3 linked regions of the Callithrix jacchus genome follow. The protein of the gene in region 2 interacts with the protein of the main gene of each other region in a biochemical or structural test. Links are inferred from orthologs where the notes say so. Each region holds a gene or a part of one and is shown on either strand. Other genes may lie near its edges. The genes, in order: CHEK1, MCM7 and DBF4.

What was found.
Region 1: the proteins of MCM7 (region 2) and CHEK1 form a complex in vitro, tested with the Homo sapiens proteins (2 studies listed by BioGRID, with this or other methods). The link is inferred for Callithrix jacchus from reciprocal best matches to the Homo sapiens genes MCM7 and CHEK1.
Region 3: of the proteins of MCM7 (region 2) and DBF4, one has a biochemical effect on the other in vitro, tested with the Homo sapiens proteins (2 studies listed by BioGRID). The link is inferred for Callithrix jacchus from reciprocal best matches to the Homo sapiens genes MCM7 and DBF4.

What each region holds. Positions count from the first base shown.
Region 1 is NC_133511.1:25,249,782-25,260,113, forward strand, and holds part of CHEK1 (serine/threonine-protein kinase Chk1), read left to right. Parts: intron 1-4,982; coding exon 4,983-5,091; intron 5,092-5,278; coding exon 5,279-5,456; intron 5,457-5,701; coding exon 5,702-5,833; intron 5,834-10,332. UniProt on the Homo sapiens protein: Serine/threonine-protein kinase which is required for checkpoint-mediated cell cycle arrest and activation of DNA repair in response to the presence of DNA damage or unreplicated DNA.
Region 2 is NC_133503.1:13,481,037-13,491,468, forward strand, and holds the start of MCM7 (DNA replication licensing factor MCM7), read left to right. Parts: upstream 1-3,227; 5' UTR 3,228-3,324; coding exon 3,325-3,355; intron 3,356-3,603; exon of another isoform or gene 3,604-3,782; intron 3,783-4,078; exon of another isoform or gene 4,079-4,394; intron 4,395-4,533; coding exon 4,534-4,613; intron 4,614-4,928; coding exon 4,929-5,093; exon of another isoform or gene 5,094-5,097; intron 5,098-5,264; coding exon 5,265-5,389; intron 5,390-5,469; coding exon 5,470-5,650; intron 5,651-5,945; coding exon 5,946-6,083; intron 6,084-6,366; coding exon 6,367-6,516; intron 6,517-6,706; coding exon 6,707-6,821; intron 6,822-6,910; coding exon 6,911-7,042; intron 7,043-7,274; coding exon 7,275-7,358; intron 7,359-7,850; coding exon 7,851-8,244; intron 8,245-8,541; coding exon 8,542-8,625; intron 8,626-9,584; coding exon 9,585-9,753; intron 9,754-10,432. Other genes in the region: AP4M1 (AP-4 complex subunit mu-1), read right to left, coding at 333-395, 778-858, 951-1,061, 1,662-1,758, 1,842-1,948, 2,650-2,738, 2,846-2,903. UniProt on the Homo sapiens protein: Acts as a component of the MCM2-7 complex (MCM complex) which is the replicative helicase essential for 'once per cell cycle' DNA replication initiation and elongation in eukaryotic cells.
Region 3 is NC_133512.1:61,834,756-61,845,087, forward strand, and holds part of DBF4 (protein DBF4 homolog A), read right to left. Parts: intron 9,111-10,332; coding exon 9,074-9,110; intron 7,739-9,073; coding exon 7,693-7,738; intron 5,127-7,692; coding exon 4,998-5,126; intron 4,550-4,997; coding exon 4,435-4,549; intron 1,018-4,434; coding exon 893-1,017; intron 1-892. UniProt on the Homo sapiens protein: Regulatory subunit for CDC7 which activates its kinase activity thereby playing a central role in DNA replication and cell proliferation. Required for progression of S phase.

The sequences.
Region 1 (10,332 bases), on a different chromosome or scaffold from region 2:
TGTCTGTTGTGTTTATCATTATATCACCAGTCCTTAGCACAGTATGTGGTGTACCCTCGACACTCATTAAATATTTATTGAGTGAATTGAGTAAACTGGGAAGTGGGAGAGGAAGAGAGGTTTGAGATGAGGCCGGAGAGATGGCTAGTGGCCAATTTGTGGAAGAACACCTTGTAAGCTATGTTCAAGATTTTGGGCTTTAACTTAAGACCATTGGGGAGAGACCTTTGAGAGATTTTAAGCAAGAATATGGCATAGTCATATCTTTTAAATGGTTTTAAAACATCTCCCTGACTTCTACTGTTTTCTTCCATTGTTTTTTATGATTAGGGAAATATTCAGAATGCTGTAGGCCTTTCTGCTAGTTGTCTAGATATGGGAAGATGGTGGCTTGGAGTAGGTTAGGGCAATGGTATTGCAGAAATGAGATGATTCCAAAAGAAATTTAAAAATAGTGTTGATAGGACTGTTAGGCCGTGAATGGGAGGAGAAAGAACAATGACTAGAGATGATGAATGAGAAACATTCTGAGAGTTATTGAAGAATTAATGTTTAACTCTATCCTCATGGACAGAAAAGAGTTAATATTTAAACATTAACTCTCTTTTCCTCGTTCTAACTTAAAGTCCAATTTTCCCCTAAGGACACAGCTTCCTCTAAAGTGGTAGGTGTTTTCTTTCCCATACCCTCATGTCTTTTGATCTGGACATGGCACAGGTGTTCTCCGTATTTTTCATTGTCACTTTCTCCCATCTTCCTGTATCTCTCTCCCTTCTAACTTTTGAACCTCAAATTAAAACATCTGCCGTACTATCACAGTCTCCAACATGATTGTTGATATCATTTTTGTCATGATTCTTGAATATTTAAATATTTATTTGGATCATCCTGATATCCTGACTTTACTGTTACTTGACCTTTTCTCCTATAGTGATATTGTCTTTGAACACTCTGCACTGATGACCAGTATGATTTTTTCGGACTTCCTCCCTTAATATTCTGACTTCAACAATCCTTTGACTCTAGCTGGACTTGAAGTTAATTAATTCTATCTCTTTAGTCTCTTACCTGCTCCCTCTCTAGGTCCTTGATTCTGTTTTTACCTATCTTAAATCTTTAGGTTAGTCATTATAAATAACTGCTTTGTATTCATAATCTTCAACTTCCTTGTCCCCTTGTGTCTTCATCATACTTAGTGGGTAGAACCCAGTAAGTAGTTTCTGGGTTTAATCTAGTAGTTTTCTATGTACTCCACACTTGTATCTGCATAATGGATTGCAGCAGGAGAAAAATACCCAAAAACATTCACTTTAAATTCAGGATTACTAATCTTAAGTGGACCCTGAATTCTGCCTGGCATTTGGGCTTTATTTCCCCATGTATTTCATTATCCTGTTACCTTAAATCACGTTAATTCTCTCTTTTTTTTTTTTTTTTTTTTTTTTTTTAAGACAGGGACTTGCATTCACCCAGGCTGTAGCACTTCAACCTCTGCCTCTCAGTTCAGGTGATTCTTGTGCCTTAGCCGTCTGAGTAGCTGGGCCATGCTGGCCAGGCTGGTCTCAGCCTCAGCTTCCCAAAGTGCTGGGTTTATAGGTGTGAGCCACTGCGTCTGGCCCCTTAACTTTTATTATCTTCTTCCCCATTCTCTCTCTCAGTTGTTCACTCTGCTTCCTATATCACTGGGAAATAGAAGCAGCCACAAGACAACTTATGCAAGCTTCCACCACCATTTCCCCCTAACTAACTGCCTCTAAACTCATAATATTCTCCTTCGTCCTATATTGCTGTGGATAAATTGCTACAGGTGTTAAGCCAGATTTTTCTCTTACCTACTCAAGGACTTTGTCTAGCAGTTTTTCTGTCTCCCACATTATTAATTTTTCCTTCTCTATTGGATCTTTCTCATCAGCATACCAAATGCTTTTTCTCCCATTTTAAAAATCAGATCATAATGGTAATAAAATTTCTCTTAACCCCTCTTTTCTCTACCAATCCATTTTCTTCAAAATTGAGCATTTCTAAAATTGCTTCTCATTTCTAACACTTCAAAACTAATTTTGAGTTTTTGTTACCAAGTCACAGTGATTTTTGGAACATGTTGCCAAGTTCAGTGTAATAGTCCATCCTTACCTGTGGTCACCTGAGGTCTGAAAAGAATAAATGGAAAATTCTGGAAGTAAACAATTCATAGATTGATTTTATTTATTTATTTAATTTGAGACAGAGTCTCACTCTGTCACGCAGACTGGAGTGCAGTGGCATGGTCTTGGCTTACTGCAACCTCTACTTGCTGGTCTTAAATGATCCTCCCATCTCAGCCCCCTGAGTAGCTGGGACTACAGGTGTGAGCCATTGTGCCCAGCTAATTTTTGTATTTTTGGTAGAGATAAGGTCTCGCCATGTTGCTCAGGCTAGTCTTAAACTCCTGGATTCAAGCAATCGACCCACCTGAGTCTCCCAAAGTGCTGGGATTATGGGCATGAGCCACAATGCCCTACCATAGGTTTTAAATTGTTTGCTATTCTGAGTAGCATGATAAAATCTCGTGCTGTCCTGCTTCATCTCACCTGGGATGTGAATCATTCCTTTTTCTAGTATATTCATGTTCTATGTGCTACCTGCTTGTAACTCATTTAGTAGCTAATTTGGTTATTAGATCCAAAGAACATATGTAGGGTTTGATACCATTTGTACTTTCAGGCATCCACTTGAACATATCATCTGTGGATAAGGGGGACTACTGTAGTCAGTTCTCAGACATCTTGTTTTATCTCGTCAGTATTTTTTACAGTTGATCATGCCCTCCTCCTTTAAACACTTTCTTCATTTGGCTTCCAGCCATTCTACTCTTCTGATGTTTGTGCTTCTCACTGGTTGCTCCTTTTCAGTCTCTTTGGATGGTTTTCTTTCATTTGCTCAGCCTTCTACTACTGGAGTTCTCCAGGGCTGAATCTATGGATTTCCTTTGTTTTCTCCACACCCACTCCCTTAGTAGTAGTATTTGGTTTTGTGGCTCTGAAAAAAACTATATGTTGATAGTCACATTTATATCAACCTAGACCTTTCTTCTGAATTCCGAACTTGTATGTCTTAACTGCCCTCTCAAATTTCGCTTGAATGTTAAGCATCTCAAACTTGATGAGTTCCAAACTGTTACTGATCTTTTCGTTTCAAACCCATTTCTTTTCTAAGTCTTTTCCATGTTGGTTAACGGCAACTGCATTATTCTTATTATGCAGATCAGAAACCTTGAGTCATCCTTCATTTTTCTCATTCTCTTTTACTTGACACCCAGTCCACCAGGTAATTGTTAACCTCTATCTTAAAAAAAATTCTAGAATCCGATTACCTTTTTTCACCTCTACTGCTACCCTGTCATTCCATACTACTATGATATCTTTCCAGAGTGTTCTGATTTAAAAATAAATTAGAATATCTCATTGTTCTACCTAAATCCTCCAATGCTTTAGTTCTCACCAATGGTATAAGCTAAAATCAGTTCATGACCTGTGAGTTCTTACCCAGTTTTGTCCCTTACATTACCTCTCCAACTTCACTTCTGCTTTGCTCCCCCTTGGTCATAGCTATGGTGGTCTTCTCGTTCTCCAAAAACTCTAGGCACACTTCTACCTCACTGTTTTTGTAATGAATGTTCCCTATGCCTGGAAATGCTTTTTCCCATGGAACTTAGATGCGTGTCTTATTTTCTCACTTTCTTTGGATATTGACTTCAGTGTCATCTTTTCAATAAGCCTTTCCTGGCCATGCCATTTAAAACTATCCTCTTCTTTCTAATACATTTCTTAAATTTTTAAAGTTTTTACTATCTTGTGGACATATGCAGTCCAACACATTTCTTCATTTTATTTTCCTCCATTGTACATTTAGCTTATTGATTTTTAATTTTATTTAAATTTATTTTATGTTATTTTGTCTCTCCTCAATAGAATGTAGGATTTAAGAGGTCAAGGGTTTTTTTTCTGTTTTGCTCACTGCTGAATACCTAATACCTAGAATAATGCCTGGCACAGAGTAGATCTAATAAAATATTTGAATGAATGGATTAATAAATAAAAAGCAGGTTTAAAAAAAATTTTAGCATGTTTAAGTGGTTTGGGTACAGATCCTGTAGAGAGGAAGAGGCTGACAGTCTAAGAGAAAGGGAATGAATAACAGAGGATCAAGATCCCTCAGGAGGTAGAAGGATATGGGCTCTGGAACACGAGTAGAGTGATGAACATTCCATAGGAGAATGGAAGGAATGAAAGGATGTGTAGTAATACAAGTAACTTAGCAGATTTGCTGCGGACAAGTTGATGTAGTTTCTGTCTAATGGCTTTATTTTCTCTCTGAAATGGGAGGTGGTAGTTTAGGTACTGGACAGTAGTCTTGGAAATTACACAGAAGTGTAGTTTTGAAATGATCCTTGTGGAGAAAAGGAAAGGAAACTAACTAGAGAAGGAAATAGAATTATCTGGCAATATTGAGGTTCGGCTAGGGATTGTAACCATAAATTTATAGTGGCGTCATTTTGAGTATAATCTTCATTGTAAAGAATCAAAGAATGTTGGCTAGAGAAGATTCATAATATTTATTGTTATTATCATACATTTTTTTTATTTTTAAAAGTTCTAGTCCTTTAGCCAGGTCTGTCGTTTTCATGGAACATTTTTCTGTTACCCACAAAAGATGCCATTAAGATTGTGGCCTGAGCATACTTCACACTTGGAACACGCCTACAGGTCATACTTCGGTATTGTGAAATACCTAATTTGACAAGTGAATCTTAGTAATTTAATAACTTGACCACATTTTTTATAAAGTCATATAGGAAGACTTTGTTTTATATCTTGTAAATATTTTGTGTTAAATAAATAGATTTAGAAAGAGTTTTACTTCTTCAAGTTACCAGTTGGGCTAACTTAAAAACACATTTGCATAGAAGACTTGAAAGCATTTGTATTTTTTTTCTTTTTTAGGGGCAAAAAGGCCCCGAGTCACTTCAGGTGGTATGTCAGAGTCTCCCAGTGGCTTCTCTAAGCACATTCAATCCAATTTGGACTTCTCTCCAGTAAACAGTGCTTCTTGGTAAGACTGATAAAGATTAAGTCGTTTTTGATTGTAGTATTCCCCATGAAGAATAATACATATATGTATTTTTTTATAATAATCAACAATGGACATAATACTGTGTGAGAGTGTTTGTGTGATGTAAGAAAGGCATGATAGATTTTATTTTATTAAATGTATATTTCCTTCTGTCCTAATGCCTCAGTGAAGAAAATGTGAAGTACTCTAGTTCTCAGCCAGAACCACGTACAGGTCATTCCTTATGGGATACCAGTCCCTCATACATTGATAAATTGGTACAAGGGATCAGCTTTTCCCAGCCCACATGTCCTGATCATATGCTTCTGAATAGTCAGTTACTTGGCACCCCAGGATCTTCACAGGTGAGGGAATTTAATTTTTTAAATAAATAATGGCAGCTCTTTATTTGTTATTGTCTTAAAGTCCCTTTTTATTGTGAAAATCTTAAGATATATAACTTTTAAATCACATGGTTTTTTTTTTTGGTTAAAGAAGAAAGGGGAGGGAATCCTTAATGCAAAAGAATTTTAAGTCAGACTAAATGGCTATGATCTTACTGTCTTTAGTCATAATGGATTTATTTAGTTGTCTTCTGTTTGATATATAGAACCCCTGGCAGCGGTTGGTCAAAAGAATGACACGATTCTTTACCAAATTGGATGCAGACAAATCTTATCAAAGCCTGAAAGAGACTTGTGAGAAGTTGGGCTATCAGTGGAAGAAGAGTTGTATGAATCAGGTGTGTTTCATTGATTTTCATTATAACTTTTCCTGAAGAAAAATTTAAATAGGCCGGGCACAGTGGCTCATGCCTGTAATCCCAGCACTTTGGAGACTGGGAGGCCGAGGCAGGTGGATCACCTGGTTCGAGACCAGCCTAACCAACATGGAGAATCCCCATCTCTACTAAAAATATAAAAAATTAGCCGGATGTGGTGGCACATGCCTATAATCCCAGCTACTTGGAAGGCTAGGGCAAGAGAATCACTTGAACCTGGGAGGAGGAGGTTGTGGTGAGCCGAGATCATGCCATTGTACTCCAGCCTGGGTAATAAGAGTGAGACTGTCTCAAAAAAAAAAATTAAATATTCAAGTAAAAACTATCATTTGTATATTTTTAAAATACAAGCTGGGCATGGTGGCTCCCGCCTGTAATCCCAACTCTTTGGGAGGCCAGGGTAGGTGGCTCACCTGAGGTTAGGAGTTTAAGACTAGCCTGGCCAACATGATGAAACCCTGTCTCTACTAAAAATACAAAAATTATTCAGTATGGTGGTACATGCCTCTAATCTCAGCTTCTGGGGAGGCTAAGGCAGGAGAATCACTTGAAACCCATAAGACAGAAGTTGCACTGAGCCGAGATCACACCACTGCACTCCAGCCTGGGTGAGAGTGAGATTCTGTCTCAAACAAACACACTTAGAAATATATAGTAATTAGTTAATTTGAAAAATAAACTAGTAAAATATTCTTTACCTTAAGAAATAATGTATATTTTTTTCTTTTTTAGCCACTATGCCTGGTCTAAGAAATAATATTTCTTAAAAGGCCTTTTTAGTGTTATTAAAAATATTAGGTAGCTGGAATCATTATTTTCTTTAAAATTGTATATGCTTAAACTGTAGACAGTAACAGTTGACTGCCTACCCTGAAAGTCAAATACATTAGCAGTCCCATACTTTTTCCCATCTCCCATTATTGCAGCTGTCAGTTTTTATTGTTTATATTATTAGAGCATAAATATTGGTATTCTAAACTGTCTTTAAAGCTTTTCAGAAAAATGTTAACATCACGAAAGACAAATAGGCCAGCTGTTTTATATTGAAGGAGACTAAAGAGGCCTCCTGATAACTAAGTGCAATGCATGATCTTTCACTAGATCATGTATTTGAAAAAAAAAAAAAAATAACAGATATTGTTGGAACAATTGGGGAAATTTGAATACGGACTGTATGTTAGGTAATGTTTCTGTATTAGCATCAGATTTCTTGGGTGTGATAATACTGCGTTTTGTAGGAGTATATCCTTGTTCAAAAGAGAAACATATTGAAGGAAAGTTAAAGTGAAGTGATATCTTCATTCAGTTTAAACTTTAAAAGAAAGAAGGGTAAACAGCTACATAAAGACAAGCACACACATCTTGATAGATAAGACCAGTGAAGACTATATGGTTATTTATTGTACTCTTCTTTCAGTTTTCTATAGATTTGAGTTTTCAAAATTAAAAAGGGAAACTGTTACTGTGTAGAAATCTGAGGCCAGCCTGATATTCCTCTCACCTATAGGTGATTCACTCTTTTTCAGTTAGACTCATAGAGATAAAATTTGCATAATATAAAAATCATGACTTTAACCGTTTTAAAATTTTTAATGCAGTGATTTTTAGTATATTCACAAGGTTGTACAATCATCACCCCTGTCTAATTTCAGAACATTGCATCCACAGGGGGGAAAAAAAAGCAAAAAAAAAACCTTTGTACCTAGTAGTCACTCCTTATTCTTTATTCCTCCATTCCTAGGCTACCTGGAATCTACCTTCTCTCTTTAGGGATTGCCTTTTTTTGAACATTTTACATAAATGGAATCTTATAGCATGTAGTCCTTTAGGTCTGTCTACTTTCATTTAGCATAAGGTTTTCAAGGTTCATGGCATTGATCAGTACTTTATTCCTTTTTATTTTGGAGACAGAGTCTTGCTCTGTTGCCTAGGTTGGAGTGCTGTGATCTTGGCTCACAGCACCCTCTGCCTCCCAGGTTCAAGCAGTTTTCCTGCCTCAACCTCCCACACACCTGGCTAATTTTTGTATTTTAGTAAAGACAGGTTTTTACCGTGTTGTCCAGGCTGGTCTCAGACTCCCGAGTTTAGGCAGTCTGCCCTCTTCAGCCTCACAAGGTTGCTTGGATTATAGGCGTGAGCCACTGCACCTGGCTGTTCCTTTTTATGGCTGAGTAATATTCCATTGTGTGTATGTACTACATTTTGTTTATCCATTCATCCGTTGATGGACATTTGGGTTGTTTCTACTTTTTGGTCATTATGAATAATACTGCTACGAACAATCTTGTACAAGTTTTTGTGTCACCATATGTTTTCAGTTTCTTAGACATATATGGAGGAGTAGAATTGTTGGAACATATGGTAACTCTTCATTTAATTTTTTGTGAAACTGTGAAGTGATTTTTCCAAAGCACCTGTACCATTTTACATTCCCACCAATAATGTATGAGAGTTCTAATTTCTCTTCATCCTTGCCAACACTTACTGCCCCCGCTTTCTACTATAACAATCCTAGTATGTGTGAAGTGTTATCTCATTTTGCTTTTGATTTTCATTTCTCTAATGACTAATGATCTTGAGCATATTCTTATATGCTTATTGACCATTTCTTTATAACAGTGTCTATTCAGATCTTTTGTCCATATTTTAACTGGATTCTTTTTATTGTTGTTAGAGTACTTTGTACATTCTGGACACCGGAACCTTGTCAGATACCTGATTTGCAAATATTTTCTCCCATTCTGTGGGAGAAAATTCCTCCATTCTTTTCGTTTTTTTGTTAGTGTCCTTTGATGTACACAAGTTTTAAATTTTGATGAATTCCAGTGGATCTATAATTTTTCTTTTGTTGCCTATGTTTTAGTGTCAAATTTAAGAAACTGTTACTTAATATAAGATTATAAAGATTTATACTTTATGCTTTCTTTTAGATGTCCCAGCCTCCTAAGGAGCTGGGACTACAGTCTTAAAGTTTAGCTCTTATATTTAGGTCTTTGTCCTTTTTGAGTTAATATTTGTATATGGTATGAATTAAGGTCCAAATTCAAATGTTTGTATGTGAATATTCAGTTTTTACAGCACCATTTGTTGAAGACATCTTTTCCAATTGGATAGTCTTGGAACCTTTGTTGAAAATAATTGGTGATAAATGTGTAGGTTTATTTCTGGACTCAATTTTTTTTTCTTTTCTTTTTCCTCCCCCTGTGGCCTCAGTTCTTTGTTTCATCTATATGTCTGTGCTGTGCCATTACCATATTATTTTGTTTACTGTAGCTTTGTAGTGAGTTCTGAAATTAGAAAGTATGAGTTGGCTGGGCACGGTGGCTCACGCCTATAATCCCTGCACTTTGGAAGGCCAAGGCGGGTGGATCATGAGGTCAAGAGATTAAGACCATCCTGGTCAACATGGTGAAACCCTGTCTTTACTAAAATACAAAAAATTAGCTGGGCATGGTGGCGCATGCCTGTGATCCCAGCTACTCGGGAGGCTGAGGCAGGAGAATTGCCTGAACCCAGGAGGCGGAGGTTGCGGTGAGCCGAGATTGCGCCATTGCACTCCAGCCTGGGTAACAAGAGTGAAACTCTGTCTCAAAAAAAAAAAAAAAAGTATGAGTTGCCCAAGTTTTTTTTTTTTTTCAAGGTATTTTGGTTATTTGTGGCCCTTTGTTTTTCTATCTGACTTTTAGGATCATCTGATTTGTTTCTGCAAGAAAAAAATTTGGAATTTTAAAAGAGATTACATTGAATCTATAGATATACTTGGGGAATACTTCCATTTTAGTACAGATTGAGTCTTCCTTATTCAAGGTCCTTGGGAAAAAAAGTTTTGTGGATTTTACCTTCGTTTGGATTTGGAATATTTGCATATACATTGAGATAACTTGTGGATGGGACTCAAGATGAAGCATGAATTTTATTTATGCTTTGTACATATATTATACAAATAGCCTGAAGGCAATTTTATACAATGTTTTAAGTAATTTTGTGCAAGAAACAAAGTGTACATTGTACTATCAGAAGGCAAACTTATCAGGTGTGAAGTTTTTCATTCATGGCATCATGTTAGCACCCTAATAGTTTTGGAGTTTGGAACATTTTAGATTTCAGATTTTAGATTATGGATGCTAAACCTTAATCTTCCAATCCAATAACATGGGACATTTTTAATTTTTTAGGGTCTTTAATTTCTTTCAAGAATATTTTATAGTTTTCAATGTTCAAGTCTTGCACTTCCTAGGTTAAATGTAATCCTGTTTATTCTTTTTTTTAATCCTGATGCTGATGTAAATGGAATTTCTTTCAATTTTATTTTCAAATTGTTCATTGCTAGTATATTTGCAAATAAATTTTGTATATTGATCTTGTATCCTGAAAATTTGCCAAACTCATTTATTAACTCCAGTAGTTTTTTTTTTGCAAATTCTTTTGGTTTATATATATATGAAGATTATTTTTGATAT
Region 2 (10,432 bases):
AGAGTGCTTTGGTGCCATCCTGGCTCACTGAGGCCTCAATCTCCTGGGCTCAAGCGATCATCCTGCCTCAGCCTCCCAAGTAGCTGGGACAGCAGGTGTACACTACCATGCCTGGGTAATTTTTTTGTATTTTGTAGAGTCAGGATCTGGCTATGTTGCCCAGGCTGGTTTCAAATTCCTGGCCCCAAGTAATTATCCCATCTCTGCCTCCCAAAGCACTGGGATTATAAGCATGAGCCACCGTGCCCAGCCATTGCTGGAGTCTTAGCCACCCCAACATGTGTCCCAAATCTCATTTGTCCTCAGCTCAAGGGATGGGAGCTCAAACTTACATTAGATGCTATCAGTACAGATAATCTCTCAACCACATCCAAAAAAACTTCATTCTTCTGGCTCTGAGAAAGAGAGAGGATTTGGGTCGTTGGAAGCAGAACAGTCTATGTTCTGAAGTGGACAGACAGAAGAAAGAACAGAAGAATGGTCAAAGCTACAGCTCTAGGGTAGGGACACAGGTGCCAGAAGGGATACCCACATCTAGGAGAGGTGGAAAACGTACCAAGATCTTTTTTTTTTTTAATTTTTGCATTTTTAGTAGAGATGGGGTTTCACCATGTTGACCAGGCTGCTCTCAAACTCCTGATGTCAGGTGATCTGCCTACCTCAGCCTCCCCAAATGCTGGGATTACAGACATGAACCACTGTGCCCAACCTAAAATCTTGGACTCTGGGGTCCCAGAGCAAAACCACAAGGTTGGACCCCATGGATCCCTCTCTCACCTGGTCAGAGCGACTGGACAGAATGGGGCGGCTGGCTGCACTGCTGGGGGCCACTTTGCTCTGTTGTGTCTCAGCCCCAAACTGTAAAGTATCCAAAGCAATCAATCCTCAGGTCTGACAACCCCAGGCAACACCCCTTCTCCTTCCTCACCCTCCTCTTTTTCTCTGCTGACCAAGCCAACACTGCTGAGGTCAAAGAGGCTGAAGGGCTTGCTGACCACAGCTTCCGTCTGGATGAAATTCCTCAGCATCTCCATAGATGTGGTCTGTACGTAGCCATAATCCTAGCGTAAAAGAAGGACAGTCTGAGAAGTCAGTGGAGGGAAGGGGTAAAAAAGGTGAAGTGGGGGCCGGGTGCAGTGGCTCACCCCTGTAATCCCAGCACTTTGTGAGGCCAAGGCAGGTGGATCATGAGGTCAGGAGTTCCAGACCAGCCTGACCAACATAGTGAAACCCCATTTCTACTAAAAATACAAAAAATTAGCCAGGCAGGTGGCATGTGCCTGTAGTCCCAGCTACTCAGGAGGCTGAGGCAGAAGAATCACTTGAACTCAAGAGGCAGAGGTTGCGGTGACCAGAGATCCAGCCACTGCACTCCAGCCTGGGCGCCAGAGACTCCTGTCTCCATAAAAAATAAACAATTAGTTGGGCACAGGGGAGGCTGGGGCAGGAGGATTACTTGAGCCCAGGAGTTCCAGGTTACAGTGAGCTATGACTGCACCACTGCACTCCAGCCTGGGTGACAGAGCAAAGACCCTATCTCTAAAAGGTAAAAAAAAAAGGAGTAGACTTGGTCTCCCAACCACAGCATCCCGCAGTAGAAGAGCAGAAGTATCTCCAGGGGAATTGGGGGGCGGGCACAGAAGGGGATCATTGATTCTCACCAGCACTTCATCCAGGAGCTCGTAGACCACAGCCACGTTGCGGGAGATGGTCCCCTCACCCAGGGCGCCACAGTAATCGCCCAGAAGGGTGGCCAACCTGAAGAAACACTTGGGAGTATGCATTTCCTCCTCCTCTTAGACCCCCACTAGCTACCAGGTGTCCAGCCCAGCCCTCCTCACCTGGAGAGCAGTTCTAGGAGGCCGAAGGGAGAAACGTTTTCTGAAGTTGTGACCACCAAATAGAGGCCGCTGTGTCTGATGTGAATGAAATGACGGCCCTCGTGATGCTGAGACACAGGCAGGTAGAGTAGCATTAGGAAAAAGGAGCTGGGGTGATCAGAACCCAGGAGACCTGAGCTCGGATCCCGATGCCTCTTACTAGTCACAGTAGCAGTGACTTCGGGAGATACATGACAGGTTCCTGAACCCAGCTTCCCAATGTGGAAACGGGGTTAATTACAGTAGCTACACCTAGTTGCTGAGGATGGAGTCATAAAGGGAGCTGGGCCTGGTGTTTTGCTGCCACCTGATGTAAGTTTTTTTTGTCCCAACGTCCCCCCCCCCCCGACCCCTGCCCGATGTAGTCTTGCTCTGTCACCCAAGCTGGAGTGCAGTGTGGCGATCTCGGCTCACTGCAGCCTCTGCCTCACGGGTTCAAGCGAGTCTCCTGGCTCAGCCTCCCTAGTAGCTGGGATTACAGGCGCTCACCACTAGGCCTGGCTAATTTTTTTGTATTTTTAGTAGAGGCGGGGGTTTCACCAGGTTGGCCAGGCTGGTTTCGAACTCCTGACCTCAGGTGATCCGCCCCCCTCGGCCTCCCAAAGTGCTGGGATTACAGGCATGAGACACCGGGCCTCTTGTTAGTTTTATATGGAAGAATGCACCCCATCCCAAGTGGAAGCTACCAAGGAATCAGCCCTGGGAGGGAGCCGGCGGGCCAGGTGGGCGCCGGCTCCCTGCTCCCCACCCGCCTCCCGCCAGTGGTTACCATGACAACCGGGGACTCGTCTCCTGGCAGTCCCGTCAGCTTCCGGTAGAAGAGCTCGGCCACATCCCGGCCGCCACTGTCCCCACGGACTGGCGGGTGGAAGAACTCAGTGAAGAAGCCTGCGACACGGGCTGGCCCCGGGCGCCCCTCCCGCCCGACACCTCCGCCCCTTCCCAGCCCCGCGGGTCTAGGATACAGTCTTTGTAGATGAGCGGGTCCCCCTTGGAGGACAGAATGAAGAACTGGGAAATCATGGCCGTTCTGGAGAGTAAACGAGAAGACGGCGAAAGTTGGGCCTGCCCCGCCCTGAGGCCCCGGAACAAAGGAACACGCGTGCGCTGGCCCTTTAAGAGCGATTCTGCTCCGCCTAAGCCAGCTCGGACCGCGGGAAACCAGACGCCCGCCCAGCCTAGCTCGGCGATTCCCTCCCGACGCCCACACCGCCTCCCCGTCACTCATTCCAGGTCCTCCTGGTGATTGGCTTGAGGCTAGCTGGAGGCGGGGAGAGGGCCGGCCTCTGCAATTGGCCGGCAGGCAGTGGCGCCGGTCACGTGGGGGCGACGTTTCGCGCCAATTTCGGTTGGTCAGCCACAGTCCACCGCGCGGACGTTCTCCGCTTGCCCGGGACCCAGACCTCTGAGTCCGCCAAGCGCTGCCGTACGGGCCTCGGTAGTGATGGCACTGAAGGACTACGCGATCGAGAAAGGTACTGCTCTACGAGCCTGGGAGGGCGTCCTGCGCGGGGAGCCTCCCGGGGAACACCTATTGGTGTGAGCTGGGGTCTTGTGGAGCCGGGATCAGCAAGTTCTGGGGACCACAAGGCTAGAGGCAGGGTCGGGCGGCCGCCCGGCTGAGGCCCACGAGGCGCAGGTGGCATCCATGTTGAAGAAAAGCTGGTAATCCCACGTAGTAAAGGTGTTAGGGTCATGGAGTTGGGGGCTTGGGGGCGCTAACCTGGCTGGGGGGGTGCTGCATAGGGGAGAATCGCGCCCAAGACCTCGGAGTACCCTAAGGACTCTGGGGTTCCGGGCCTGCTTTCCTCCGCGCTTTTGGGCATTCCCCAGTTCCCGCGTCCTCCCGAGGCGCGCGGAGGCCCTGGGGGCGGGCAGGCCGGGCCGCTACGCACCAGGATTGGCCGTTTGAGGCCGCCCTCCAAGCGGAAGTGGAGCCGGGCGGAAGTGGCGCGACGCGGATGGAGGGAGTGTCGTGTAAACAGTGTCCTTCCGCGCAGCGGCCTCGGAGAGAGCTGTGGCCCAGGGGAGGGGGCGTGCCTGGGAACCGGGAGCTTCGCTCGTGCCCCGGAAAGGCGGTAGTGGGCTGGGATCGCGGCGGCCCCAGGCGTGTTGTCCAATGGCTGGATGGGCTCCCGCCCTGGGCGGAGGAATCCCGGGCTGTGAGGCGGCTGGAATCCGGTCCCATGTGCTTCTTTGTTTACTAAGAGCGGAAGCGCTGGCGGGAGCGGGGGTGGGGTGCGCGACCCGCCTGATGGCGGAGGTCCTGGCGAGATCAGGGGCTCAGGGGCCCAAAGAAGGTGGGGGATCATAGGGGTGGAAGGAAGGCTGAGAACCTTGAGATCGGAGTGTGGGGCGCCGATGAGGAAGGGCGCTAGGGTTTTAAAGTAGGGACCGGAATTCCCCTGGGAAGACGATGTTGGATCATCCTGTGAACTGCCACGACCTCTTTATTCTTCGCTGATTAAAAACAAACTTGTGAAAAAGAGTTATACCCATTTTGGGGAGAATTCGGTAGGTTTATTTAAATGCTCATATCGTTAACTAGTTCATAAATCGTGTTTTAAGTGAAAATAGGCGTCTTAGATTTCTGTCAGAGGGATGGGCAGTAATATAAAGTTTGTGTCTTATGATTTTACCTTTTACGTTACAGAAAAGGTTAAGAAGTTCTTACAAGAGTTCTACCAGGATGATGAACTTGGGAAGAAGCAGTTCAAGTATGGGAACCAATTGGTGAGTCTAAGATTGGGTAAAGAGAATGAGGAGTCGGGTTTTAAGAAGTCCTAAGAAGCGGCTTGTTTCATCAAGGATGTTTTTCTGACATGTTTATCAGGGCATTTGATATCTGGTAAGAGAATGTGATGCTATAGTATTTTCATAATAATTAGAGAGTTTGGGGGCTGAGAAGTGAGTGTGCTCTCTGAGGTGCTATGTTCTCCCCTGTGGATGCCCAGAGCCCGTGCTGAGCTCTCAGTGATGCATCTTCACACGTGAACACTGAACAAGTGAACATGGCTCTGAGGTGTTGCTGTCTCTTTCCCACCTGAGGTTCGGCTGGCTCATAGGGAACAGGTGGCTCTGTACGTGGACCTGGATGATGTAGCTGAGGATGACCCTGAGTTGGTGGACTCAATTTGTGAGAATGCCAGGCGCTACGCAAAGCTGTTTGCTGATGCGGTACAAGAGCTGCTGCCTCAGTACAAGGAGAGGGAGGTGAGTGACTGGAGAACAATGCAGGGCAAGGCGTTTCAGCTTCTGTTAAGAAGCTTCTCAGATACTGATGTTTTCGGAGCCAGGCAGAAAGCAGGGGCACTTCTGCCTGGCATTGTCTGTGCTCTCCTTTCCCCATCCTGTTACTCATTTTTTTCTGCTCTTCTCCTTTAGGTGGTAAATAAAGATGTCCTGGATGTTTATATTGAACATCGGCTTATGATGGAGCAGCGGACTCGGGACCCTGGGATGGCCCGAAGCCCCCAGAACCAGTATCCCGCTGAACTCATGCGCAGATTGTGAGTGGTCTCTGTTGGGAAGGATGTAGGGATTGGTTTGTGACTCCAGGATCTTGTTTGTGACTGTTTTCTCCTCTTAGTGAGCTGTATTTTCAAGGCCCAAGCAGCAACAAGCCTCGTGTGATCCGGGATGTGCGAGCTGACTCTGTGGGGAAATTGGTGACTGTGCGTGGAATCGTCACCCGTGTCTCTGAAGTCAAACCCAAGATGGTAGTGGCCACTTACACTTGTGACCAGTGCGGGGCAGAGACCTACCAGCCGGTACGTGTGGAGGAAGGAGCAGGAAAGCACTTCACACTTAGTCATTTTATAGAAATTGATATGATCCATGATGCCTATCGTTTTTTCTGGTTGTAAAAGCTACCTATGTGTTCACTTTTCATTCTTGGGTATGTAGTGGTCTTTCTATTTTCTGGGTGTCTTCTGTTGTCTAGAATAAGCTCAAAGAGTTCTTGATTCAGAAGATGTCTGCCATGAAGAGAAAACATGATTCAAGAGACCGAGATGGGGCTGTTTTTCTTCTGACTTCCTTTGGTGTTTCTGTTCTCAATCCTAGATTCAGTCTCCCACTTTCATGCCTCTGATCATGTGCCCAAGCCAGGAGTGCCAAACCAACCGCTCAGGAGGGCGGCTGTATCTGCAGACACGGGGCTCCAAATTCATCAAATTCCAGGAGATGAAGATGCAAGAACATGTGAGTTTGGGGTATGTGGCCCTGGGCAGGTGGATCAGGAGTCCACTTGAATCCTGTAGTCACTGGTGGAATGGCAAGAAGAACAAAAGAGGGAAGTGCAGGAGTGAGGTGGAACTGGGGTTTCTTGAGAGCCTTGGCAAGGGGAGAAAGGCAGTCTCAGCTTCCGTCCTGTGGGCTTATCTGTGGCTGGGCAGGCAGGGAGTCTTGGCGTGGGATGCCTAGGGAGGGAAGGTTGGGTCCTTGTTTATTTCTCCTGAGCCTTATGTGCTCTTCCCTCCCCTAGAGTGACCAAGTACCCGTGGGAAATATCCCTCGTAGTATCACAGTGCTGGTAGAAGGAGAGAACACAAGGATCGCCCAGCCTGGAGACCATGTCAGTGTCACTGGTATCTTCCTGCCAGTCTTGCGCACTGGGTTCCGACAGGTGGTACAGGTAAGGAAGGGAGTTTGATATGAGGAACAGATCATCCCATTTCCCCTCACCCACTGTACCCATACAGAGAAAAGTGAGTAGCAAAGCACCAAACAAAACAACACAGTGCTTTATCAAGAAATTGTTAGGGAATCTGGTGATGGGTAAGTTCTAAGGATTGCATCTGTATCCTGACATTTTCCTGCCTAAGGGTTTACTCTCAGAAACCTACCTGGAAGCCCATCGGATTGTGAAGATGAACAAGAGTGAGGATGATGAGTCTGGGGCTGGAGAGCTCAGCAGGGAGGAGCTGAGGCAGATTGCAGGTGATGCTCAGGAGAGAGAGGAAATTCCGTTTACATCCTACCCCCCCATTTTCCCCCACAAAATACCTTAACCTTAAAATTCTCCACAGAGGAGGATTTTTACGAAAAGCTGGCAGCTTCAATTGCCCCAGAGATATATGGGCATGAAGATGTGAAGAAGGCACTGCTGCTCCTGCTAGTGGGGGGTGTGGACCAGTCTCCTCGAGGCATGAAAATCAGGGGTAAGAAGAAAAAAGGGCAAGGCTCAGGGTAGATGAAGTCATTTGGGAGGAAAAAAGGATGACAAGTGTCCCCATAGGTCACAGTATAAGAGTGGGCGTCTTCGATTCATGGACACAGGGAGGGCTTAGAAGTAATGCTAGGTGTTGGGGGAGGCAGAATTCAAAATTGCTCTGCTGTTGGCCAACTTGCACTGGGAGAAGAGTCATTCCTGGGCTGCCTGTCTTCCTCTAGGCAACATCAACATCTGTCTGATGGGGGATCCTGGTGTGGCCAAGTCTCAGCTTCTGTCATATATCGATCGCCTGGCCCCCCGCAGTAAGTAGTTGGACTTTGAGAGGGGTGAACATAGTGACAGACAGGACCACAGGGTTTATTCAAAAAGTGGGGGTGCATAGTGGCTTACACCTGTAATCTCAGTGCTCTCAGGCTGAGACAGGAGAATCATTTGGGGCCAAGAGTTTGAGACCAGCCTGGGCACCATAGTGAGACCCCGTCTCTACTAAAAAGGGCTTTTTTTTATTATTATTATTTTTGTTTGTTTGTTTTTGTTTTGAGACAGTCTCACTTTGTCGCCCAGGCTGGAGTACAGTGGCGTGGTCTCAGCTCACTGCAACCTCCACCTGCTGAATTCAAGTGATTCTCCTGCCTCAGCGCCCCACAGAACCTTGGGCATCCCGGGGAAGGCCTGGGGCAGGTGGAACAATCCCAGCGCAGCCCCCCCTCTCTGGCTCATTTCTTGTCTTTTGCTTGCTCTCTCTCTCGTTCCTTTCTATCTCCTAACATGGCTCCTTATTTCTTCTCTTCCAGGCCAGTACACAACAGGCCGGGGCTCCTCAGGAGTGGGACTTACAGCAGCTGTGCTGAGAGACTCCGTGAGTGGAGAACTGACTTTAGAGGGTGGAGCCCTGGTGCTGGCTGACCAGGGCGTGTGCTGCATTGATGAGTTTGACAAGATGGCTGAGGCCGACCGAACAGCCATCCACGAGGTCATGGAACAGCAGACCATTTCTATCGCCAAGGCTGGCATCCTCACCACACTCAATGCCCGCTGCTCTATCCTGGCTGCTGCCAACCCTGCCTATGGTCGATACAACCCTCGCCGCAGCCTGGAGCAGAACATACAGCTGCCTGCTGCACTGCTTTCCCGGTTTGACCTCCTCTGGCTGATTCAGGACCGGCCTGACCGTGACAATGACCTACGGTGAATGAAGCTCAACACCCAAAGAGAGGTCCCCTGTAATGATCTGTGGCAGGGGCCGGGGGTGAATCAAAATAAATACCCAGCTCCTGGAAATCCCAGAACCTCCTCCTTGTGTCAGGGACTGGTCCAAGGTTCTCAGGAAAATGGTGGGTTGGGGCTGAAATGCTAATGAGGATTTCCCAGGAAAGCTTGTTCCTGCTATACCATGAGATGGGTGGAGCCAAGGGAGGGATACCTAAGAGGACATGGGTATGTAGCCCTATAAAGGGTGTTCCTCCTCACCTCCCCTCTATCCAGGTTGGCCCAGCACATCACCTATGTGCACCAGCACAGCCGGCAGCCCCCCTCCCAGTTTGAACCTCTGGACATGAAGCTCATGAGGTAGGAGAGCTGGGTGCAGATGGGCACACATTGTCAGCATGGGCCATGCAAGCCTCCTCAAAAGGCTTTAGTCTTAGGGTATTTTCACACCACCACTTCCTGCTTCTGACACGTCCAGAGCCTGAAAATAGTCAGGGTCCCCCTGGAGCCTGGTCAAATGAGAATAACTTTTAAGTGGAAAACTCCACACTTCATGTGAAAGGGACACAGGAAACTTTTGCTTCCTATACACAAATTTTTTTGGTTTTTGAAACAGAGTTGCTCTGCCGCCAGGCTGGAGTGCAGTGGCGTCGTCTTGGCTCACCGCAACCTCTGCCTCCTGAGGGTCAAGTGATTCCCCCTGCCTAAGTCTCTTGAGTAGCTGGGACTACAGATGCCCACCACCACGCACAGCTAGTTTTTTGCATTTTAGTAGAGACAGGGTTTCACCATATTGGCCAGGATGGTCTTGATCTCCTGACCTGGTGATCCGCCCACCTCAGCCTCCCAAAGTGCTGGGGTAACAGGCTTGAGCCACTGTGCCTGGCCCACACAACTATTTTTAATAAAATTGCTTTAAGTTATGTGTATCAGTTGTATATGAAATATAGGTGAATTTCATGTTTAGACTGGAGTCTCATTCCAAGCTATATCTGTTTTGCCATGTCATGCACTCAGTGGAGGGGAGTGGATCATTTAATGACAGACGGATTTGTCTTACTATCACAAAGGCCATTTTCCAGGGGGGGAAAATGGAAATAATTTGGAGGATACTGGGAGCAGGGGCTATAGATTTGGAGAAATCCATCAATGATGATCAAGCTAAGCAAATAATCATCCATTAATTTGTTTTTTCCACTTAAAATCCCTGGAGGGGACTTTGATAAATGGGGGTCCCTGGTACAGAAAAAAAAATTGGGCTCGTATTCACTCCCTTCCCCATCTCCAGCTTCTGCTTCCCCACAAACCTTCTCCCACAGGCGCTACATAGCCATGTGCCGAGAGAAACAGCCCACGGTGCCAGAGTCTCTGGCTGACTACATCACGGCAGCATACGTGGAGATGAGGCGCGAGGCTTGGGCTAGTAAGGATGCCACCTATACTTCTGCTCGGACCCTGCTGGCAATCCTGCGCCTTTCCACTGCTTTGGTAAGTGCCCAAACTGCTGGAGGGCCATCTGTTTTGACCCTTAAAAGGGCCACTCCTTGCCATGCTCTCATCGCTGCCTCCCTCCTGCTCCAGCCCTGCCGGGGCTAAAGTGCTGACAGTGCAGATAGTGGTCCTCTCCGTGCTACCGCACTGTGGGTACTTGCTGCTCCAGCAGGGCACGCACAGCATCTGCAGAGGGAAAGGCCTTTTCCCCACTTCTTAACCCTCACTGAGGGGGTGGTTGGGGTCCGTTTCACTCCCTGTGTCCTAGATCCTGTGCTACAAACCTTCCTTTCTGTCCTCCAGTCTTGGACCTCAGTCCTGGGGGCTCCAAAGTGCTGTTCGTGCAGGTAGTGTGATTACCCAACCTACTGCTGAGCTAGCACTTCCCGAGCCCCCGGGACACGTTCTCTCTGCCAATTGTCTTCTTGGCTGAGCTCCCCAAGCTCCATCTGTCATGGTGGGGAGCCCAGTGGAGTTCAAAAGGGTCTGGTCTCCCTCACAGGACAGCTGAACTCCGGGACTGGCCAGTGTTGAGAGGCGGAGACTTGGGCAATTGCTGGACGCTGCCCTGGGCATTGCACTTGTCTCGGTCTGACAGTGCCGGCCCAACACTGCGGATGCTGGGGGGAAGGGAGGGGCTCCACTCCTGTTTTGTGAGTAGGTGACCCATGGGCTG
Region 3 (10,332 bases), on a different chromosome or scaffold from region 2:
GACTACAGTCTATTTTTCCAAATAAAATTGTATCAAAATACAGCCATATCCATTGTAAAATAAAGAAGCTAATTAGTTGCAACAGAGATCTTATGGCTCACAAAACCTAAAATATCAAATATCTGGCTCTTTATGGGAAAAGTCCATCAACTCCTTCTAAACTACAATGTCAAGAATGAGACTAATTAGTGGGGTGTAGTGGCATATGCCTGTAAACCCAATTACTCAAGAGGTTGAGACACGAGAATCTCTTGTACCTCAGAGGCAGAAGTTGCAGTGAGCCGAGAGAATGCAACAGCAGTCCAGCCTGGGTGATACAGCGAGACTCTGTCTCAAAATTAAACAAAAAATTTAAAAAAGAAAAAATTTTAGATAAAAAGAAAACTTAAAAACAATGGAAGTAAAAGTAGTCTAAGGTAAGCATCTTTGATAGTAGGGAAAAAGGGAAGGGAAGAAGTTACTGGTTTTTAACCATATTTACATCCTGAAAATACATATTCCTTCTAAGAACAGGCATACTGTGTTTATTTTTAGTTTAATAAAATAGTTTAATATTCTAGTATAATTTGTTTTATTTATGTATGTATTTATTTTTGAGATGGAGTCTCACTATCACCCAGGCTGGAGCACTGCAACCTCTACCTCCCAGATTCAAGGGATTATCCTGCCTCAGCCTCCCAAGTAGCTGGGATTACAGGTGTGCACCACCACACCCGGCTAATTTCTGTATTTTTTTTTTTTTTAAGTAGAGACAGGGTTTCGCCATGTTGGCCAGGCTGGTCTCCAACTCCTGACCTCAGGTGATCCTCCCAAAGTGCTGGGATTACAAGCATAAGCCACCACGCCCAGCCTTCTACTATAATTTAAAATTTAGGTTGATAGCACTAATTACCTTTTCTTTTTAGGTGTGTCCTTTTCATATTCCACAAAGTCAAAAACTAACTTAGATACAATATCATCAACAACTTGATACCGGTTACTCTGTGCAAAGTTTCTGTGTTGCTCACTTAGAAGGTGCTAAAACAAAATTAAAAACATGTATTAAAAAATTGTATTTTAAAACCAAGAGATGCCATTTTATTAAGGTTTTTTAACATTCTCATGCCCCTAAAATTAGGTTTCCAATAACTACTCCAAAGATAATATCTTTACTGACTTCAAAAGATGTTTAAAATAAAAGTCACTTCTGAGAAACCAGTAAAACTACTTTGGTTTTTAGTCTTCAGTGAGAAAAGACAAGTACTAATTTGTAGCTACAATGGAACTAAAAAGAATGAACTATGTCAGAAAACAAAAACACAGGTTGGGCACAGTGGCTCATGCCTGTAATCCCAGCACTTTGGGAGGCCGAGGCTAGCAAATCACCAGAGGTCAGGAGTTCAAGACCAGCTTGGCCAACATGGTGAAACCCCGCCTCTACTAAAAAAAAAAAAAAATCAGCCAGGTGTGGGGGGCACGTGCCTGTAGTACCAGCTACTCACAAGGCTGAGGCAGGGGAAACGCTTAAACCCTGGAGGCAGAGGTTGCAGTGAGCTGAGATGGCACCACTGCACTCTAGCCAGGGCAACAGAGTGAGACTCCATCTCAAAGAAAAAGGAAGATACAGATGGAGAGACACAACAGTAACATTTTGGAAAACACACTTCCCTCTATTACTTTGTCTTTAGGCAGTTACCACTAAGTAAGGCAGGACTTATAGAAAATTAATTACATATAAGTTAACATACAAGAATCCAGAAAGTAGATTAAACACAGGAACCACATTAAGTACTATGAAGTATTAAAAAAGCCAAGATTCATAATTAAAGAACACATTTGAAAATGAACAACAAAACAAATGATTTCAATTACCCAGTGCTCATAACAGAGTATACAGAAGTTATTCTCTTATTCTTAAGAACCAAAACTGCCAGGCGCGGTGGCTCACGCCTGTGATCCCAGCACTCTGGGAGGCCGAAAAGGGCAGATCACTTGAAGTCAAGAGTTTGAGACCCCAGCCTGGCCAACATGGTGAAATCCAGTCACTAATAAAAATACAAAAATTAGCCCATGCCTGTATTCCCAGCTACTGGGGGTGCTGAGGCAGGAGAACCTCTGGAACCTGGGAGGCAGAGGTTACAGTGAGCTGAGACTACACCACTGTACTCCAGCCTAGGTGAGAGAGCAAGACTCCATTTCAAAAAAAAAAAAAAAAAGGTAAAAAACAAAAGTAAACATGTTCACAGCATAGTGAGAGATAAAATTCATAGGAACAAAGTTCCTTTCGAATAGGTGGAATCTCCAGCCCAACTCTATCATTTGTCTATCAGCTGATCAGGGAATTGTACTTAGAAGCTTGCCTCCAGATGATCAGGAAAGATCTAATTTCTGTATCCCTAGTTTCATGCAGTTTTACATTTTGATGATTTGATTACAATTCTAAAAACATCTCCACTGGTCTCAAAAAAACACAATGCATCCTAGAACACCCATGTATTTCTTCCTTACTTGCAAGCTTTACCATACACAAATTATATATGCCCAGCAATAAAAATGAGCAATTATTTAAGTTTAAAAGGAAACATCACATTTGTAAGCTCTGATTCAGTCTACCAATGTTCTAGGAAGGAAAATTTCCAACTTTTATTTAGTTCCCTCTAATTTCCATTAAGTTCTTCTTATTCATCCTTAAAGTCTTAATTTAGAAGTCACTTGTGCTCAGTTGGGCCTTTTGGGACCCTCATTCTGCTTTAAGTAACCTCATTATTTATTCCCATTGCACTTCATACTTTACTTTTGTGACAGTCATCACATTTGCAAATTCGTATTTTCTATCTATGTACTTTGCCAGACCATAAGGTGTATAAGGGTAGGGATGTCACCTTATTTGTTACTTTATCTCCAGTATTCAAACGTATTTGTTAATTGAATCACTGTGAAACCTAACGTTCAAAAAAAATTTCTTTACTCTTGGCAGCTTAGAAACATACAAATGAAAACTGTAAAAACATGATCTTAAATTTCAATCCCAACCTCTGTGTTCACTAATTTTCCTTCTTTGTGGCAACCAGTGAACATTTTTTTTCATTTTTCAGCCTCGACATTTTCTGAGCACCAAATTAAGTATCCATTCCAGATTTTTTTTTTTTTTTTTTTGAGACGGAGTTTCGCTCTTGTTACCCAGGCTCGAGTGCAATGGCGCGATCTCGGCTCACCGCAACCTCCGCCTCCCGGGTTATTTTGTTGCTATACCAGCAAAGTAAAACTTCTGGACCAACACGTAATTTTAATTTTCAAAATGATTTTCAGGAAGGGAAAATATTTCTGAGATACTTTAGCTTCTGATTAAAAGCAATTTTAGACTAACTATAGTTTTCTCATTTATTACAAAAAAACAAAAACTACCACAAAACGCTAATATATTTTGGTTTATAAAACAAACTTCAATTCAGAGTCTGAAGACAGGTATGTTCAAGTATTATTCTTTCTCCTTAAGTTTCCCTCCATCTTTTACCAAAACCAAACCAAACACCAAAACAAACCTATCTACTACTTAAAAAATTCAAGTAACAGCTAACAATAAGCACTTACTATGTGCCAAACACTGTCCAAGGTCACATAGACAAGAAGCCAGCATTCAAACCTGGGCAGCTTGAATCCATAGGTGCTGCTCTTTTAATCAGTTTACAAACTATAGTATTTTCCCCATCCTCATCCTATATACTCTTTCCAACTCTTCCATTTCTTTCTCCTACCTCAATGAACTGTCTTTACTTCTTTCAACTCCTCTTCTCATTATAAATGAGGCTTTTTAAAAAATTGCTCAGGTTCAAAATCCTATAGTAACCATTGGACTACCATTTTCCCTTGCTTGCAACATCCAATCCATTGGCAAATCTTCTTGGTCCCACCTTTAAAACATATTCACAATCTGACCATGTTTCAGCATTTCTACTACGACTTAGTTTGGACCATCAATATCTATTCCTTGATCTCATCAATCATTTTAAATTGGGACTTTTGCACTTCTTTATCTCACTATCCAGGTCTCATTACTTCACTTCTCTCAGATCTCAAATGTCACCTCATCAGTTAGGTGTTCCTTGTCTAGGTTAAATACCAACATGCCCATTCCTATGTTATGTTTTTTCATAGCACTGATCTAATATTCTCTCTATCCTTTTTATTATCTCCACCACTACCCAATCCTCATCCCACAGAATATAATCTTCACAAGGGTAAGAAATTAAGTCTGTTTTGTTCAATGCTGCTTGCCCAGAGTGGTGATCAGTATGTAGTACTTAGTAAGTATTTGTTGAGTAAAAGTAATTTTCAATACTCATTTCCCCCTTGAGTTCTTAAAATGTAAAAAATCTCCATCAGAACAAGCTAAAATTTAAAACACAAGTATTACAGTTTTTGAAACAAGTTCCTAAAATATAAAATCACATTTACAGTTTCTAGATCCTCATATTTCTGCAAGCAACATTCACAATATCCTTTTTTCTTCTTCTCTTTCAACTGGAGTTGAACTGAGGTTCCACCATATTTATCGCCATCCGTTTGGATTCTGATGACAGAAATACATGGTAAAGAATTAACTGCTTAACCTAAGGAATAACTTTTAAAAATTTTTGTCCTAAACTATCACACACAGAATCTGCATAATTTACAGAGACTTATATCAGCAAGTACTTTTAATCATATTTCTTTATAATATGTTAAGAAGCAAACTAAGATTTAAAAAATAGTTTGAGAATATTTCAGTCATTCAAGATAAACTACACATTTTCATTATTTACAAATATTTTAAGGCCCTCCCTACCTCCATCTAAACAGATTCAGAATTCAAATCTAGTGTAGAGAGATTAAAAATATACAGAGGGAAAAGTAATCAGAATAGTAATTACAAACACAAACAACCACTATGGCATAAACCAAACTATTTCAAATCTTTATAAAGAACAATTGAGATGACATTCTGAATATTCCATCTAGAAGTAAAGATTCAAACAAACCTTAGTTTCACCTGAGTTTGCTTTTGCATACTAGATGGCTTTTCTACATCAAATGGACAGCAGGGCTTCGGAATAGAATAATTTATAAAAGGCATATTGGTCAGCTGAAGATAAAATGGCCTATAAAGTCTAAAAAAAAATAGACAAAATACATGAGATTCTTTATGATGAAAGAAAACAAATTTTAAAGTTTTATATTTCAAAATCACCTCATTCAGTGGAATCTGAAATAAACAACAGAAATCATTTAGGCTTCCCCCTTCAAAAATCCAATTTCTAGGCCTAATATTTTTAACATTTACACATTTTTAAAACTGTGACAAAATACACATAAAATTTACTACCTTAACTATTTTAAGTGTACAATTCAGTAGGATTAAGTATTCATAATGCTGTGGGGTACCATCACTGCTATTGGTCATCTTTTGCATGATGATGTATTTTCATCTTGCAAAATCTGAAACTCTGTTCCCATCAAACAGTAACTTCCCAACCATCCTTTTTCTCTGTAGCTCCTAACAACCACCATTCTACTTCCTGCTATTTATTTGACTAATGTAGGTGCTTCATGAGTGGGATTATGTAGTATTTTTCCTCTTATTTCACTTAGCATAATGTCCAAAGGTTTATCCATGTTGCATGTGTCAGAATTTCTTTCCTTTTTAAGGATGAGTAATATTCCATTGACTGTGTGCACACATATTCCACATATTGTTTATCTATTTCTTTGCTGATGGGCTTGGTTAACTTTCACTTTTTGGCTGCTGTGGACTTTTTAATAGGAGCCATCGTAAATAATGTAAAGTGGTATCTCATTGTAGTTTAGATTTGCAATTCCCTAATGATTAGCAATATTGAGCATCTTTTCATAAGCTTATTGGCTATTTGAATATCATCTCTGGAGAAATGTCTATTCAGTACTTTGCTCATTTTAAAAATTGGGTTGTTTTATGTTGTTGAGTTGTAATTCTTTATATATTCCAAATATTAACACCTTTATTAGATATATGACTTCTTCAACCTGAAAAAGCTGAAAAAAAAAAAGATATATGATTTGCAGTATCGTCTTCCATTCTTTGGGTTGCCTTTTTACTGTTATATCTCTTTAGGCACAGAAATTTTGTATTTTTGATATAGACCAATTTGATTACTTTACCTTTTGTCTGTATTTTTGGTGTCATATCCAATAAAGCACTAAAAATCCAATGCCATGAAGTTTTTCCCCTATGTTCTCTTCCAAGAGTTTTATCATTTTAGGTCTTTGGTCCATTTTGAGTTAATTTTTGCATATGATGTAAGGTAGGAGTCTAATGCCATTCTTTTGCATGTGTATATCTAGTTTTCTCAACACTGTTAAAAAGACTGTCCTTTCTCCATTAGATGATCTTCCTACCATTGCTGAAAATCATTTTCCCATAGGTGTGATGGCTTATTTATAGTCTCTCTATTCTATTCCATTGGTTTATATGTCTTTATTCCAGTACCAAATTGTTCTGATTACTATAGCATTATAGTAAGTTTTGAAGTCAGGAATTGTGTAAGTCCTACTTTGCTGTTCTTTTTAACGACTGTCTTGGGTATGTGACATCTGTTGTGATTCCATATGAATTCTAGGAAACATTTTTATTATTTCTGCAAAAAACATCTTTTGATTTTTGACAGGGAATGCACTGAATCTGCAGGTCACTTTGGGTGATATTAACATCTTAAAAATATTATGTCTTCCAGTTCATGAACATGGGATATCCTTTTGTGTACTAGTGTCTTCTCTAGGCCTCCTTTTCAATTGCACTTTTTCTTCATAGCAACACATTTCATAAAAAGCAGCTTTCAGTACAATTTTTGTAACCTCAGTGTGAGTACCCAAGAGAATTAACCACACATCTAAATAAGTAAATGGAAAGAAAAAAGAAAGTAACCTAATTCTCTCACAGCAGGCCTATTTATATCTACAGTCTTCATTAAGATTATCCTATATGGCTGGGCATGGTGGCTCACACCTGTAATCCCGGCACTTTGGGAGGCTGAGGCTGGAGGGTCACATGAGATCAGGAGTTAGAGACCAGCCTGGGCAACATGGTGAAACCTCATTTCTACTAAAAATACAAAAATTAGTTGGGCATGGTGGTATGCACCTGTAATCCCAGCTACCTGGGAGGTGGAAGCAGGAAAATTGCTTGAACTTGTTGGGGCAGAGGCTGCAATGAATTATGCTACTGGACTCCAGCCTGGGTGACAGAGTGAGACTCCATCTCCAAAAATCAAAACGAACAACAACAAGATTATCCTAAAATACTTCAGAGTGAGTTTTGGAAATCAACTGTGTTAGATGTTATACTTAGATTTTCTATTTCTAAATAGCATCTAATAATTTCTTTTTCACAAATGCAGGAGTAATCTTTAAGTATTGGTACTGCATTTAGCCATAGAATTACTTTAAATACTAAAAAATGTCATCATGATTTTTCTAAGCCAGCTATTTCAGAGACATCCACAACATACTGAAACCAAATTTAGTCTTTCAGCACAAATGAATTCATGCTACGTTAGATAACTTGTGCCGCAGGCACTTTAGTATAATATAAATCAAACACAAAGGAACCTAACAGTAGTAATCGAGCTAGCCTAATTAGTTAGGTAATCTTCCCCTTTAGTTCTGCACTTAAATCACACAGACTGGACTTAAGATACTTACTGGCTGATATCTTCTACTTTTACAAAAGGCTTTTTGAGTCTTCCTGCTTAAGAATATAAAAAACATATTAGTTACTTGCAAATACAGGAATTTTAAAAAATAAAGCAATTATGGCAAAACAAAACCCTCCCAAACAAAAAATCTATATATCCATTTTAAAGTTGTAAGCCTCAGATGAGGTACTTCCATTACCACCTCATGTCCAAAAATAACAGAAGATCTCTCTATGTTCTCAGAGTCTTAAACTAAATGAAACCCTCATATGAATACGATTCAGGAGGGTCATAAATTAGAACAGGAGAAAAACTACACTATTATTTTCACTGACCACAAACTGAAATTTAGCATTTCCTCCAGTTATAAATGTGACAAATCACTGGGCGTGGTGGCTCACGCCTGTAATCCCAGCACTTTGGGAGGCCGAGGAGAGTGAATCACAAGGTCAGGAGATTGAGACCATCCTGCCCAACATGGTGAAACCGCGTCTCTACTAAAAACACAAAAATGAGCTGGTATGGTGGTGGATGCGGGTAATCCCAGCTATTCGGGAGGCTGAGGCAGGAGAATCGCTTGAACCTGGGAGGTGAAGGTTGCAGTAAGCTGAGATTGTGCCACTGCACTCCAGGCTGGCAACAGAGCAAGACTCCCTCTCAAAAAAAGCAACTTTGGTACTAATAGAAACAGCCCAAATTTTCATATCAGTTATGAACTAAACAGACATCGCAAAGCATTTTTTATGCTTATTAATTCAAATGACAGTAGCAATTAGATTCACTGCTATAATCTGTTCTATGTAATAAAAAGCAAGGTTGGGTACAGTGGCTCATGCCTGTAATCCCAGCACTTTGGGAGGCTGAGGTGGGCGAATCACCTGAGGTTGGGAGTTTGAGACCAGCCTGACCAACATGGAGAAACCCTGTCTCTACTAAAAGTACAAAAAATTAGCTGGGCATGGTGGCACCTGCCTATAATCCCAGCTACTTGGGAGGCTGAGGCAGGAGAATCGCTTGAACCCGGAAGGGGGAGGGTTGAAGTGAGCCGAGATTGCGCCACTGCACTATAGCCTGGGACATAAGAGCAAAACTCCGTCCAAAAAAAAAAAAGCAAGTTATCACTCTTTCATAATTAAAAACCATTTTCATAACTAAATTTTAATGTAATTCATTTTCTTGGTAGTCTAATGATTAAAAAGAAATTTTTAAACACTATTCTGAGAATGTGGTCCACAGGCTTCACCAAACTTCACTAAGGATCTACATTCTAAAAAAGACCAAGAAAGCCCTGAATAAATCATTTAGAGGGTGGTTTACATGAGTTTAGAAGATCTTTTATGATTTTTCAAAAGCAAAGCAAATATACTTAAAAATATCAAGATACTTACTTCTTGTTTTTTGTGCACCGGTACCAACTCTTTTCCCCTAAAAAAAATAGCGAAAAGATTGGGTTTTAAAGGACAGTTAAAAGAGCAAATCCAACTGCTCAATATCCTCAAGATAAAAAAAATCATGCAGAAAAGTACTATATCAAGGATTATTCTTGCTTTGTTAAAAAAAAAACCTCAGACATTAAACAACAATCCTTCAAGAACTAAAGATTGTAACCACTAGAGTAGAATTCAGTAACTAAAACTGTTTTACAATACATACACCCAAGTACCATGCATTCTAACTATAATTGATTTGGACTTCTTAAAAAGAAATCAACCAATAATGAAAAGGTAGGTAGTGAAATACGTTTTTAAAAAGTCTTTTTGTTTTTTGAGATGGAGCCTTGCTTCGTCAACCAGGCTGAAGCAATCTCTGCTTCCTGGTTTCAAGTAATTCTCCTGTCTCAGCCTCCCAATGAGTTGAGCAGGAGCCTATTTTTATGCCTTAATTCAGCAAAATCTTTGTATTAAACTGAAGAAAGAAACTAGTCAACATTTACTAGTCTGTCAATTTAGGCAAAGATTCAATACGTCCAAGATGGTAATCAGTTCTACTGATAACAAGTAAAAATTCTGGACAACACTGAATAAGCAACTACCTGAAGATTGGGGAAAAAAATAAGCATGTAGATTGTGGAAAGAAGTCAAAACTGGAACCATCAGTCTTGGAGTTAGCAGCAGTGGCAGAGACAGCAGCTGAAACTTCTATACAAACCTTATCTTTCTGTCTGGAAGAACCAGGAATAAAGTTCTAGTAGTCCAAAAATACCACAAGAATCCCTATATTCTTTATTTCTTTTCTCCCACAATTCTGCTCTGAGGGTGGGCCCCAAACAGGAAGCTAAGGTTGTAAAGGTAGCACAAGCTTAAGCTAACATTGAGAAACCTTCACTTTCTGACTAAGACCTGGTAAAGAGGCCACTGTGAGCTGGAGATTAATCATAGAGATCAAGTTAGAAAGGGATCCATTCCCTGTATAAATCCACACAAGTACAGGGCTTAATTCAAAGCTGCACATGCTAAGGACAGACCCAAAGCAGCATAGCAACGGCTTTGAAAACTGAAACTGAGATTAGAACCACCACCCACAAAAATTAAAAAATGTTGTGTTGTGTAGGTTCTAGATCTACTCTGATAGTCTGGAGAAAGCCGATTTTGTTTTTGCTATTGTTTTAGCAGACAGTGACTGCTAAATAGGTTCAGAATAGATCTAG